Styela clava: one gene and its partner. The protein of the gene in region 2 binds, or shares a complex with, the protein of the main gene of each other region. Links are inferred from orthologs where the notes say so. Each region holds a gene or a part of one and is shown on either strand. Other genes may lie near its edges.

Region 1 (7,645 bases), on a different chromosome or scaffold from region 2:
AAAAATTAGAGATGGGTTTCCATGATAAGAATGTGGTATATCGTGAACGTAGATGAAAAAATAATATGTAGAAACTTCGACCTCGTCTAATATTCGGCATTATTGATATTTTCGTCGCCAACCGATCGTTAGTTATCGTTTAGCCCGCTGTGGGATTGCAACGATTTGCTATGATGATATCTACTTTTAATAAATTCAGAGCGAAGTTCAATACTGTCAGCGTCCAATCCACTGGGGAGTTCGGCTTTTGTCCCTCGTCGGTGAGGATTCATCGAAAAATGTCTGATTCATCGCGTTAATACCAGCAAGAACTGTAATTTGAGATTTCCACAAATGTTTAGCACGCTACGGTATGTTAGGCACCGAATATGTTCGCTAGTGTTTTCTACCGGTATATTCTGGGCCTGGTATGGTTTCATGATCCGTTGTAAGGACATTAAGTAATAAATTATTCATTCTACTTGCACGGTCGTCTTGGCAGTATGACGGAGCATCGACGAGATGACAGAAGCCAGTCTGCGAAACATGCTATTAAGCATCTGTTAAGAACCCTAATGCACACAGGCTTTTTTAAATGAGATTACTTTTTTTACCACTCGAATTGTTGCCAGCATATTGTCGAAAATCCAACAACTTCCCCGAGAAATAAAATAGGTATATGGAAAGAAACTTTTTTACAAACGCCTTGGTAGAAAGACGCATATAGTTGAGATATACAAATGCAAGATTTAAAATCGGAACCAAGTACTATGATACAGTGAATAATAACGCTGCTATAAAATCAACTAGCAGATAAAATTGCCAGAGGTAAAAATTGAACTTTGTGAGTGATGAATGTCAGATTACGCTCTTTATACCGCGGAACTGTGACAATTCATCGCCTATCCAATACCGCACACCAATGTCAGTCTGAATGGAACGCAGCCCCGCGTCTCATCTTTAGGTGATATATATTTATACGATTCCTCGTAGGTTAGGGGGCGCATTTGGATAATGGTTGTTAATAACAACCCAGGTCCATTAAAGTCTCATCTATAAAAAAAAAATTTTCCTAAAAAACTTGACTTATACCTCGACTTACCATATATCTGGAGCAAAAAAAGGGACGGTGCGGATTGGACAAGCCGCAGGTCTACCGCGGAAAAACATGCTAAAACCCGGACTATCCCGGGACGTATGGTAAGCCTACTTGTACCCCATCTTAGAATCTCTCTCTCAATCCCAAGAATCTCCCTCTCAATCCCAAGAACAGCCAAGTTTCAACAAAAACAATCAGTACATATATTTGGAAATTTTCCACAACATGCAAAAAACACTGGTTGATTGTATTATTTTCGACATTTTTCAAGAATATAGCTCATGTTAAACTTTGTATAAATTGATGAATCTCATTATCACCAGCCCTTAGTGGAATAAATTTTATACATTGATAACAACGATTTAGAAGTTGAGAATGTAAAATTCAACAACTTTTGTTACCTAGAGCAAAAAATGTGATATTCGAGAAAATCAAAATTAATTGAGAGATCGACCAGGCATTAAGCCAACTTGAATATTCCTGCTGGTGGTATAAATACATACAAAAACAGTGATAGACTATGAAATGTACAAGATGATGGCATATGCTATGTAAAAAATATAACACTGGTTTCTGATAAATAATAATAAAGAAAGAAGCTAATGAATAATTCATATCTTTTTAATGTGTGCAATCGCAGTCAGAGCACATCTGGCATAAATAAATTTGATGGAAGGAAATAGTTATACTACCAAACAATGAGTTGACAGTTAAAGAAAAAAATACCAGACAAACAAAATGCTATATTGGGGTACCAATGAGAATTTCATTAGCGATTTTTTTTCAAATCACATGCTTATTGAAAAGTATACTAGAAATTTGAAGTATACACGAAAATTTGAATTTTAACCAGACTGCTCAAAAAGGTTAAATTTAACGGAAAGAAAATTTGCCAAATAAAATATTTTTATACCATATTTCACCAGTTATATAAACAAATAATAAAAAAAATACCCGTGCAGATAATATATTTCAGTGCAGACAAATGGAACATATTTTGGACACAATATTACAAAATTTTACAATGATTCCACCGATACAGAACAACAAAATTCAGACCAAAATGTTCTCTCAAATTCCTAATTTAAGATATGATTGAGCACAAAGTAGCAGCTTGGTATTTGCATTCACGATTTATAAAACAAAAGCTATTTTGTAATGATTGTTATAGGAAATGAAAGAAAAACTGTGCAATCGGATGTTGGAAGCAGTTATATAAAAAAGTTTTTCAGTGTGTTGAAAAAGTGCTCCATGTTAATATACAAAGTGGAAAATCCCAAAGCCTGCAACATACTGTACTTGTAACAGATTTCCTGTGTGTTTGATGGAACCAGAAACTAAATTTAAAAATGGCATACTGTACAGTGCTTACATTCTTTTTTTACTACCACGCTGATGAGTTCCTGATGCTGGACGCTGAAAATGAGATAATATGGTATGAGATACTAACATCTTCATGTCATGGTCAGAGGCTTCATCTCCAGATACCCATGGATGTTCCAAAACTTGAGATGCTGTTAATCTTATTTTGACATCATGTTGTAACATTTTGTTGATGAGGTCTTGTGCAGACTTTGAAACAAAATCCCAGTGAGGAGAAGGGAATTCATAATGTCCACATAGAATCGAATCAAATAGTTCTTCCTGCAGGTTTTTAACAGACTGAAAGGGAGGAAATCCACATAAAAGAATGTAAGTTATGACACCAGCAGCCCAAACATCAACTTGAACACCATATCCCTGCTGTAACACAATTTCGGGAGCGACATATGTTGGTGTTCCACAAACTGTGTATAACGGTCCATCTACCGTTGTCGCAAGACCAAAATCTCCTAGTTTCAATGCCTTACTGCTGTCTGAGTATTCGAAAAGCAAAAGATTTTCTGGTTTCACATCTCGATGAACTATATTGAGGTTGTGAAGATAAGCTAATGCACTACATAAATTATAAATCATGCCACTTGCATCTCGTTCCGTGTAACAAGAACCTGATGTAATCGCATCAAAAAGGTCGCCACCTTCCGCTAGCTCCATTACCAAAAAAATTTCAGTTTCTGTAACAAAATCTTGCAATACTCTGACAATATTTGGATGCTCAATTTTCTTCAAGATGGAAACTTCATTCTCGATTTTGTGGCCCGGTTCCGTACCTTTTGTTTTATCTATGATCTTCATGGCATATCTTATACCACTGGTGCGGTGAATGCATTCCTTCACTGTTGCAAAATTTCCATCACCCAGCATTGATCTAACTTTATATTGTCGAACAAGGTCTCGAGGCCAAGCTATGATGGGATCTTCATCCTTTTCAGCATCCGCTAGAGATCTTGTCAAGTCATTAGTGGGGTTTAAAGTCACATTTCCTTCTCGCTGATCTTGACTCTGCCGCATCCTTGATTTGGGTTTCTGAGGAGGTTGCGTTCTTGCGCTGGATTTCACCCGAAAACTTCTTCTGGGAGCTTGTGGTGTTGAGATAGGTTTCGTGAAGCCTTGTTCGGAATTATTGATTTCAAAATCATCATGAGTTAACTTTTCATATCCACAAGCAATAAAAACTTCATCATCTTCAAAAAAATCACTCAACTGGGTGACTTCCTTACCATGAAGTGTATAAATTTTTCTGACAGCACCTGTGTCAAGCTTTATAGCCGAGGTTATTTCATTCGCGACCTGTTCAAGGCTATGGGCTGTCTTTTTATTGAGCAGTATTCTGATAGCTTTTCTTGGTTTCACACCATTTCTTATAACTGTAATCAATTTTGGTCGAATAAAATCACGATTTAATCTGAAGGAGGATCTTCGCTCCTCTGACAATCGATTGTGATCATTGAAAGATTGTCTACCATCAGGTAATCTTGACATTGATCTAGACTTCAATTCGGAGTTTTGCGACCAGTTCGGACAAGCATTCCGCAGATAATCTAGTCTTTTGCAGGTTTCAGATGAAGAGCAGACATAGCTTTGTCCATTCACTAGCTCATCTAAACTGGTAATTCTTCGCCAATCGCCAATAGTAAAAATGGAGCGGACACCAAATGGAAGATTAACATTATCTTTGAGTGCACGAGTTAAATCAGTTAAAAGGGCATCAAAAGAACGGAATCGTGAACTTGAAATAGCATATGTGATACCTTGATGAAAACGGTCACCACTGCGATAAAATTGTACTCGCTTTGCTTTCTTTTCTTGTGATAAGTGTTGGAGGGTTCTTGTGCGATAAAAACTTGAATGAGCACTGTGAGCAGGACTACGTGTCCCTCTCATCAATCGAGACTTCTCAGATGCAAAATGTTCTGCAATAGAGCGCTGCATGACGCCATTCACCATGCTATTTGTCCTTCAAATGAAGTTAAAGAATACAACCAAAACACATAGCATACAAATAAGCTAAAAGATAATTTCAGAAGTTATAATTCTTTTTTAGTAGTCTGACCAAAACAGATTCGCAATTTAAATAGACTAGATTTCACAAAATTTCTCATGCTGTACCGACGGTAAAGACTATTGAGGTTTCCTGTATATAGACTAGATCTGTAGATCACCATTGGGACAAGTCTGCGAGTACTACAGTACTAGCCTATCATCAGCACGCAAAACAATCTGACAATGTAAAAACTACAGAATCATATTTTCCTCTCCTATTTCTAGACTACCCCTTTTGCCTCAAGATCAATTTCCTAAAAATTTTGAGACATCGTTTTGTCACAAAATTGAATTGATTACTTGAAGAGCCGCATCTTATGACAGAATTACCGCATTCAATGATTCATACCATCATACAGTCATGTCATACCGGTAGTCCTCTACTTGTGTACTGCCAAACGCAGTCAATGACGCTGTTACTTTTCAAATAAACACTTGAAAATGAAATCATCAATCTGTAAATACTCATCACATTCAACATTTCATTAGAACTAAGCCCAGTCTGACAATCCTGCCCAAACAACGCCCAGCGACACATAACAACAAACAAAATCACAAGTCGACGAGAGAGAACTTTCGCTCGCGACGAACAAAACCAAATGGTACGACAGACTGCACCGTCGATCCGAGAAGAAATTTCAAACGAAGAGAAAAAAGAATTAAGTTACGATTCACAAGGATAAAATCTATTACTATGCTCTGATCATCCATAGCCCAAATTTATTTCATTTGGTCGCTGTTTTACTCGATTCGATAGTAATTACTTTGTTCCAGTGCATCTTGGTGTGAAATAACAGATGTGCCTTCGCGTTGATATTTGACACTTCATTGAGAAGACAAATTCAAACTGTGTGGTCATTATGGTAAACGAATCTTTACGAGATATTATTGATGTGGAATGGCATCGAACTGAATTCGCAAATGAATTTTTCAAGTCCCTTTTACACAGGTACGAATACTGTTTTAAATTGGAATGAATTTGTTGGATTGAATAGCCAAATATATAGTTCGGCTTGGGGGAAATTTAGAAGTATTAAGATTGACAATTTAAGTGTATTAATAGACAGATCAGCAGCAGAAATGCAGTTATACTTGTTGGGGTACATGTCGCACATCTGTGTCTTAGGCCAGAAAGGTCTTGAACATGTATCCCGTCTCTTTTATACCGTTTAGCTTTTATGCAGATACTGTTACATTTTTGAGGGAAATAAACATATATCTGTATATACAGCTAGACTACTTCATTGTAATTTACTGGGTACATCTCTCCCTCATGCCAGCATACCTTACAGATAGATGTAATTCTAAGGCTTCCTGCAGGGTCCACAACATAAGAATATCGTTTGTTCTCTACTACCTCATTCTTCTCAAATTCTATTTTAGCAAAATCTGCTTATTATTTGAACAGGGTTTTGTGATTGTGTTATTGTTTCTGGTCTATGGCTTCAACTAACATATATTTGCCTGTGAATATGTTCTGTGTAATTTTTTAGGGGCCAACGCAGGCAGTTTGGACTTCTTGAAAGGCCTTCACTGCCACCTAGCAAGTGAGTGCATAATTATTATAGAAATATATGGAACAATCACTACAGACTGGCAAACCCTGCTCTTTAGACACAATTAATTTTTTCGTCATTATGCTGATATTATAATGAATTCTGTGATATATTTGCGTGCAAAATACTAAGGATTTATGGAACAATAGCCCAAGACGAGTATGAATCAAGAGGAACCTTCGTTTCTGATGAAATCTAACTAAGAACATAGCTAATTTTATTTCACTTGTCTCTTTCTCTTGTTTTCCATTCAATATATGTTAATATGTATAAATACTCCTTTCATGTTATATTTTGTAGTATTCAATTGAACCTATCTGGCATCTGCAGATTTTGTTTTATCAAATCTATTTTGATATTTAATCTTGTGTTTCAATAACTTTCAGAGAAACTACTATTGTCGAATACAAGATATTCCTTTGTGGAAGATCAGGGGTTGGGAAGACTGCAACAGTGGCAAAGTTAGCAGGCAACAAAATACCAAATGTTTTCAGTGAAACTGCAGGTATGCATGTTTATTTATCCAATATAACAACATCTCTATAATTGATAAACTTTAAAATAGAGTAACTATATAAAGCATATATGTGATCAATTTTGTACCAACATTGATTTATTTAGTATAGAGTCTTATACGTATTCCTTTTATGTCACATTGGTTTTCTAGAAATTGTTGAATGATCAATGAATATTCATGCAAAGCCATGGCCTAATTTAAAACATATTCTTCGACATGTTTTATTTTTAATCTTAGGTATCGAAACAACTTCTATTTATTGGCCAGTGCAAGTGAAAGCGACAAATAAAGTTGTCTTCTTTCGTCTTAATATATGGGATGTTGGAGATAATGCAATAAGAAAGTTTGAACACATTTTACCAGTTAGTAACAAACGTTTATTAAATACTTGAAACTAAACTAATTTTTCTCAAATAATTTAGAGATTTAATGTTAAATAAAATACTATAAATCCTTTACATTGTTTTTCAACTTGACGACTTTGACACATTTAGCCTTGTGTTTCATTCCGTTGTTTCCTGTGAATGATCTATGAATTCACAAATAAGCCCTGAGTAATAGCAATATTTTTTGATATGTTTTTGCAAAACTTGATAGAACAAATTTATAAACGAGAATATCGGTCGGAGACCGAAGACCAATCGATCGAAAGTTAGGGGATTCCCCAAAACAGAAACTGCGGTTTCGATTCATCCGCTCCTACTCCATGGCGACAGCGTGTGTCCCATCACTAATGAAATAATAACTCGCTAATTATATGGCATAATTCATCCAAAATCAATAAGCTTCTGGTCCGAGATATGATAAATGCACATGCAAAATTAGGAGCAGATTCAACCTTGCTTTCGTGAGATATCGTGTGTATCTAACAGACAAACAGACTTACCGATCTTAAAATCGATAAGTATTTATGGAAGTTGAATCTTTACTCTCAATGCTGTGTAGGTTTCATTTTCTATGTTTAATGAGTAGAAACTCTCAATTTTTATTTCAGGCATGCCAGTCAAATGCTGATTGCTATATTTACACATTTTCGTTTATCGATAGATCAAGCTTTGAAGATATTCCTCA
Region 2 (7,098 bases):
ATCGGAAAACTGACAATAGTGCTCAGATATATGAAGAACCTGATGACGCATAATGCATCCCTCTAAATCTTAGTAGTTTCAATAAAACCTGGCATTTTAGTATAGTCTATAATTTTGGACAAACATGTGTTTCCCTCGCTACTTGGTGAGTGTATGAGATTTACATTTTTATAAAACGCTTATGAGCAATGTTCCCTCTAATTTTTCGTAGTATGTGTGCGCAGAAATTTTGGTGTGTGCGCACTTTTTTGGAAATGACTAATATTTGTGCAAAAACCAATGGAGAAATTTTGGCGTTCTAACCGGGTAATGGGTGGGCCAACAACAAACTTTCTCAACCTGCCAACCGAGAACATTGTTACATTACATCGAAATACGTCTGTGCGCAGTAAATCTATGCGTGTGCGCAGCCCCTGAAAGCTGTGTGCGCGCGCACACGCGCACACCTTAGAGGGAACACTGCTTATGAGTGACTTTTGCTCTAAACAAGACCATACAAGCAGCCAGTGGCATTGCCCTGGGTGTGCAAGCGGGCATCGGATTAAATTTAGAGATTTATCAACTAGGCCAGCGGTTCCCAAACTTTTTGTTCTTGCAGCACCAAGTTATCAGGGAAAACTCACGAACGCTTACACAAAAAAAATTGCTGCTTTCAAGTAGTCCTCAGTTTTGTGATCTTTTATTTGTATTTTATGCATGAATTTGAATTTTGTAAACATGAAGAATAAAGGCAATGTCACCCAACTTCCATCAAATTATCTTGGAACAAAAATCCGGTGGTTCATTTAAAACAAAAGGGCCACATACTGCTACCAAATAATTTTACCTGTTAGCAAAACCAGTGAATGGAACACGTTATCTAAGATCCTCAGTAAATGAGCATCAGAAATTGTAGCCTCTCTTATTTCGGACGATTCCTTCTTCTTGTCTATTCTATCTGTATCTTTCTTCGACTTCTGATTTGGCACCAATGCTATGAGAACTATGCTATCTGAAAAATAAAAATGCAATTCTGAAATACAATTTTGGCCCAGCAGTTGGCACACTAAACCCATTATTAGGACCACGCTTAACTATCGCACAGTTGATCACACTGCATAAGTTCCAAGGTTTGAACCCTGTGAAGGATAATTGTGTGCGGGGGAATTGCTGGACCTGTCGCAATTTAAGGGGGTCAATATAACTGCTAGTCAGTTACGGCTTCTTCTTCCATAAAGTCCATGCATTTCAAAGAAATAAATAGCTAACTAATCCCATACCCACCATGGACTGGTAACTGGATGAGAGGTTGTGATTCACCAAATTATTAAGCTGTCTTATTTATTTTACTCCTTCAGGATAAATATCCTATCCTATGAATGTCATAACAGGGATGTCCGAATCGATTCGTGATTGATTTAAATTATCAATTTTAAGAATGCTTAAGAAGTAAATTGATGTTTTATGAGTTTCTGTACAAAATTTCGTTTCCAGGCAATAAGAATTTAGATTCTGAACGTCTGTATGGCCCAGCGAAAACATGCTGCACTTGGACCAGTAAGGCACAGTTCTCTAATTCCAAGATGTTCCGACATTTGGCTTAATAAAACAAGCACTGTATTATTTTCTGAATTGAGGGCGTCTGATACAACAAAAGATGTGTCAGATTGTGTTATGTTTGTCTTGATAATATTCTAGATTACGTTGATGATGACTATTTTTAGATTGCGCTTCTTTTTAGTTTATTGCGCAAATCCGGTTTGTCGGTTTATGCTGAAACGAGGGCCATACTGTCTCGTAAAAGAGGGGTTAGCATAAACTGTTATTATTGATATCTTTCAATGTGGGGGATATGCTTTGAATCGCAGAACTGTGCCGTACTGTAGACTTTGGCCTTAGAGAAGTATTTATAGGGTCGAAATAAACTTACTTTTTGATATTTGCTCAAACCCTTAATTTTCATACCTTGATACATTTTCCATACAATCTTATGATCTGTGGTCAACGTACTAACAAGAGTAACATCACGATTTTGGGCGAATAGGTGAACCCCATTCAGGGATGCCATCACAGGAAATGATAATGGTGGAGAACCTAGAGAATATAAATTCGATATTATAGTTACTGATGAATGAAATTTGGTTTAAGGAGATAGTAGGATTTATTGTTTCCTAAACCGGTGAAACAAGCATTTTAACAATAAAACTTTACAACATACTGACATACACAAAATTTATCAGTATCGACTGGGTGAGCAACACGGCCGTCAGAGTTAGTTTTATATTACTGTATTAGAGTATGATCAATTTATCCTGTGGAAGAGCAAAAACCATATCAGCATACCGCATGGCGAACCACTGCCTCTTGTACAATTGGCATATTGGTAAAATTTACAACCTGACAGCATATATTTGTCTGTCTTGATATGGATATCTTAGTTACACCCGACTTGATATACAAGAAACCACAGATCTTTTAATCTGGGTACTTTTGTACTTGTACCGGTACGGTACCGTGCTTTACCATAGGGTACCGGTATTGCTTAGCTAGCCTATCGGGGATTGAAAAAAGGGATCTCACCTTGCTTTGATCTTGTGAAGAGTGGTAGTCCTCCAGTTGCAGTCACACATATGATATGCTCAGCCATGATATATATTTAACAGACTCAGTCTGAGACTGTCAGTAGTTTACAGATACAACCAGGTAATTGTTAAGTTATGAAAAAGACACCGTTCGGGACGGCTAAGATTTTCAAAATCCGAAGCTCTTTGGTGTTTTTCCCCGAAGTTTTTTTTTTTTTTTGCCAAATAGAATTCCAGTGCCAATATGAAATTCAATTATTTATAAAAATTTTGTCCAGATGAAAGTGAATTAATAGTATTTATGTGTATTTCCAATTTTGGTTACAGTAATTGTACAGAAGTGACTATTCCACAAAAGAACTGGTTATATTCACTTTGGTTTTCCCTAACTGGGCCGTTAGTTGTGAAAAGCAGCTGGAAACTGGGTAACCGATATCCGGATAATCTAACGACACGGTTCGTGCGGTCTTTAGGCGATTATGCTGATTAATTGCTTATTTTTAAAGGCATACTTCGTTGAATTTTGACAGACGGACCCATTGTGCCCAAGAATCTGTCCGAATGTGCCCCACAAATGCTGAAATGGGGTACAGTGGGACACTTGACAGAAATTTTTCATAGCATTTTGGTAGTAAGATGTGTGTCGCAAAGAACTTTCTTAGTTGCTGAATAAAAACTACATTTACCCCACCCAATGAGCATATATACAATGAGTGGAAACTTGCAAAGATTTGCTCATTATGGCATTTTTCCCTGCATTTTTACGTCGTCCAGCTAAATGGTTCGTTGCATATTAAGAAAACGCGTTGCTCGCTGCCAACATCCCTTGCTTCAGCCGAGTCGGGTGCGAATTTGGCCGTATTAACTTGACTTGAGGTCTTTAATTCTTCAATACATATTTGATTTTGGGTTTCGAAGTATGGTACGCTGGAAGCATACAACTATGAGCATATGCTTATTGGGAATGCATATCTATTAGACAGAAAACGTATCTACAGAACAGAATATGAACCAGTCGCCGAGAGGAGTGCGGTTATTTATGTATTTATTAATTGATATAACATGGGATTTACATATTTATCCAAGGGGAGAGGAAAGCCGAAAAAAAGGTCTAAATATATGGCGAACCACGGCCTCTGTCAATCATAGCTCTGTCCTCCATATGAATCACATGGCTGTGCGAGCTATTCGTTCACTTATTAAAAATACTGATTTTAACTATAAATTACTCTGGGATATCTTGCCATTGAAAACAAAAGCCAGAAATTGGAAGAAAAGCAGGGAATGAAATGTGTGTATTATGTAATGGAGAACCTGAGTTTGTTTCACAAATTTCATGTATTGTAAATTTACAAAAAATATTTATGAAGATTTTGTTTTAGATATATTAAAATTGATTAGAATACATTTTGTTATCAATATGATTCTTGCATATTATTTAATTTTAACGATCCTTTATATAGTCGTATAGATACTGTTGATTTGGATGCAATTATACTTTTGTAATCAATAGTGAGAGATATTTCATGACTGCTATTAACTATGTGAGCTATTTTCTTCTGCAATCCAAAATATTTCCTTCGTCTGCTATTTACTATGTGAATTAATTTTTCTGTAATGTAAAGTATTTGCATAACTGCTTTTACTATGTGGGCTGTTTTTTCGGTACTTTCGTAGTATGTGTACCAGGTTAGGTTACGATTCTCCTTATTTTTGTTCTATTAAAAGTTCGGGAATTGTCTGTGTTACACAAGTGAATATTCCCCTACCGATAGACTTTAGTTCATTTACACAACTTGATATAAAGAAGGCGAACAAAATTAGTTACCTTCATATTGGTACACATACTTCTGGAGCACCATTTTTTTTGTAATGTAAAAAATATTTAATATGTGAACTAATTTTTCTGTAATGCAAAATATTTTCTACAGCTTCTGTATTTTTTATATGTCACTTTTCATTTCGTCGATAATACACATTGTTCATTCTTTGTGGAGTTTTTGGTAAATTTACAGATGGAATAAGACCGACATTCAGCTTTTTCTGTTTCACAACTGTAATACAAAAAGGTACTCTTGAAGTATGTAAACCCAGTTGGTAGACACGGGAACCATGTGTACCAGGTTAGGGTCTACTACATACAAACTTTTCAAGCCGCACCCCCTTTTTAGAATTTGTGAAATCTTGCGCCCCACCTCAAAAATAAGCTACAAATAACAGTAGTAAGGCGTAGGTATGTTTTATTGGAAAAACATGTGGAAAATACATGGATGGAACGAAATAAATGACAAGTTTTGATATGCAAATATTTACAAGTTTTGATATGTATAAAATTAGCCAAGTCCAGAAGTCAGTATTTTAAACCAATAGAGAGAGAGAGTTTATTTCGTTCGTCAAACCATGAACACATATAAATTATAATAAAAAAAAAGATGCTCAGGTGTTTGACTGGGAGACAACGTTACAACATTTCGGGTCATTTAACAGGTTCGATGTTAATTCTTCAATACCTCTCATATACCGTATTCGCTATATATATACATTATTCACAAGAATTTTTGATTTGGAAAGTACTAAATAATCATGTTTTGTCCTAAGATAATCATTTATTCAGCTGATAAGTTGACATGTATTGCATATCAACTGCATAAAAATGGGTTAGCGAGGATACCTATTATTTGGAAAATTTGTCTACTAAAAATGAATGTAATAGGACATGGATTTTTTATAAGCAAAGATGGCGAAAATTGTATTATTATAGCACTTTAATTATAAACATTTGATAATAGTAACGAAATCATGAGTAGATTTCTTTATACACTATAATTTGAACACATTAAATTATAATACTTGATTATGACTGACAAGTGATTTGGAGGATAGTAACACACAATAATACATGATCAGGGTTTGACCCTTGTCCAGCAGATATATATATATATGAAATAAAGTGCTCATGTACATATCTATATTCGGCTACAGAGCACGTAACATAGAATGAATTTTAAGGCGAAATATTGATAATATACTGAAATAGCAATGATACCCAATAGGATATTTTTAAATAAGTATTACCGGTACTAAAAAATAAATAAAGTGCTCATATACATATAGATATTTGGATACAGAGCAAGTATCATAGAATGAAATTTAAGGCAAAAAACTGATAAAATACTAGAATAGCAAGTATAATAAACATTATGATACTTTTAAATGAAGTATTACTAAAAATAAATAATGTGGTCATGTACATAGATATTTGGATACAGAGAAAGTGTCATAGAATGGAATTTAGGGCGAAATATGGATGCAAGTATGATAAACAATTTGATATTTTTATAAAAAGTGTTACTAAAAAATAAAATAATAGATTATGGAGTTCCAGCAAGTGTGCTCATAACAAATAAAAAGATAGCAATTCATTTACCACAGTGAATTAAATTCATTACACATTACTACTTGCTATAACACAGCGGGCACATGATACTCATCGTGTTTTAAACTTTTTTAAAGGTTTTGCTCGCTCTCCAGAACTCTCCATTTTTTATTTGTTTGTATTGTCAGATTGTGGACTTTTCAAAATAAACTATCTCTATCTATATCAATGAATACAATATCCCAGGTCCCCACTTGGCTGGTTCATATTCTGTTCTGTAGATAAGTTTTCTGCCTAATAGATGGTATGTATTCCCAATAAGCATTACAGTATGCTCATTCGTTCACTCAATGAGTGATTTTAATTACGGTAAATATAAAATAATTTATATAATATAAATGGGTTCATATTCCATTTTGCATCCATGATCCAGTATTTATTTTGTTCAATTCCAGTAGTAATCCATACCATAATTAGGTTATTTTAATAAATGCATTGATATAAAACAATAAAAATAAAATTAGTAAATATAAAATACATATCATAAACATTTAATTTTTTTGTAAATTTACAATACATGAAAATATGTGAAACAAACTCAGGTTCTCCATTACATAATACACACATTTCATTCCCTGCTATTCTTCCAATTTCTGGCTTTTGTTTTCAATGGCAAGATATCCCAGAGTAATTTATAGTTAAAATCAGTATTTTTAATAAGTAAACGAATAGCTCGCAGAGCCATGTGATTCATATGGAGCACAGAGCTATGATTGAGAGAGGCCGTGGTTGGCCATATATTTAGGCCTTCTTTTCGGCTTTCTTCTCCCCTTGCATAAATATGTAAATCCCATGTTATATCAATTAATAAATACATAAATAACCGCACTCCTCTCGGCGACTGGTTCATATTCTGTTCTGTAGATACGTTTTCTGTCTAATAGATATGCATTCCCAATAAGCATATGCTCATAGTTGTATGCTCTCAGCGTACCATACTTCGAAACCCAAAACCAAATATGTATTGAAGAATTAAAGACCTCAATACGGCCAATTTCGCACCCGACTCGGCTGAAGCAAGGGATTTTGGCAGCGAGCAATGCGTTTTCTCCATATGCAACGAACCATTTAGCTGGACGACGTAAAAAATGCAGGGAACAA

What was found.
Region 1: the proteins of protein fuzzy homolog (region 2) and ciliogenesis and planar polarity effector 2-like are in contact, whole or in part, in a cryo-EM structure (PDB 7Q3E), measured with the Mus musculus proteins. The link is inferred for Styela clava from reciprocal best matches to the Homo sapiens genes FUZ and CPLANE2. Residues at the interface, in NP_081652.2 of Mus musculus: Arg26, Arg35, Ile109, Val110, Lys126, Glu127, Arg129, Ala130, Tyr132, Cys133, Asp136, Gln215, Ala216, Ala217, Arg218, Asp219, Tyr220, Pro221, Tyr223, Pro232, Leu238, Thr239, Leu240, Leu241, Arg242, Pro255, Leu256, Gly257, Gln258, Pro261; in NP_001074643.1 of Mus musculus: Glu36, Gly38, Leu39, Leu40, Glu41, Arg42, Val83, His84, His85, Glu86, Thr88, Gly89, Ile90, Gln91, Thr92, Thr93, Val94, Lys124, Phe125, Met128, Glu134.

Annotation. Positions count from the first base shown.
Region 1 is NC_135251.1:18,566,768-18,574,412, forward strand, and holds the start of ciliogenesis and planar polarity effector 2-like, read left to right. Parts: upstream 1-4,631; 5' UTR 4,632-5,361; coding exon 5,362-5,450; intron 5,451-5,994; coding exon 5,995-6,048; intron 6,049-6,443; coding exon 6,444-6,562; intron 6,563-6,811; coding exon 6,812-6,936; intron 6,937-7,568; coding exon 7,569-7,645. Other genes in the region: serine/threonine-protein kinase DCLK1-like, read right to left, coding at 2,447-4,405. UniProt on the Homo sapiens protein: Required for efficient primary cilia initiation, regulating a late step in cilia initiation. Plays a role in the final maturation of the mother centriole and ciliary vesicle that allows extension of the ciliary axoneme.
Region 2 is NC_135257.1:20,600,563-20,607,660, reverse strand, and holds the start of protein fuzzy homolog, read right to left. Parts: upstream 3,007-7,098; 5' UTR 2,627-3,006; coding exon 2,560-2,626; intron 2,074-2,559; coding exon 1,945-2,073; intron 992-1,944; coding exon 827-991; intron 1-826. UniProt on the Homo sapiens protein: Probable planar cell polarity effector involved in cilium biogenesis. May regulate protein and membrane transport to the cilium.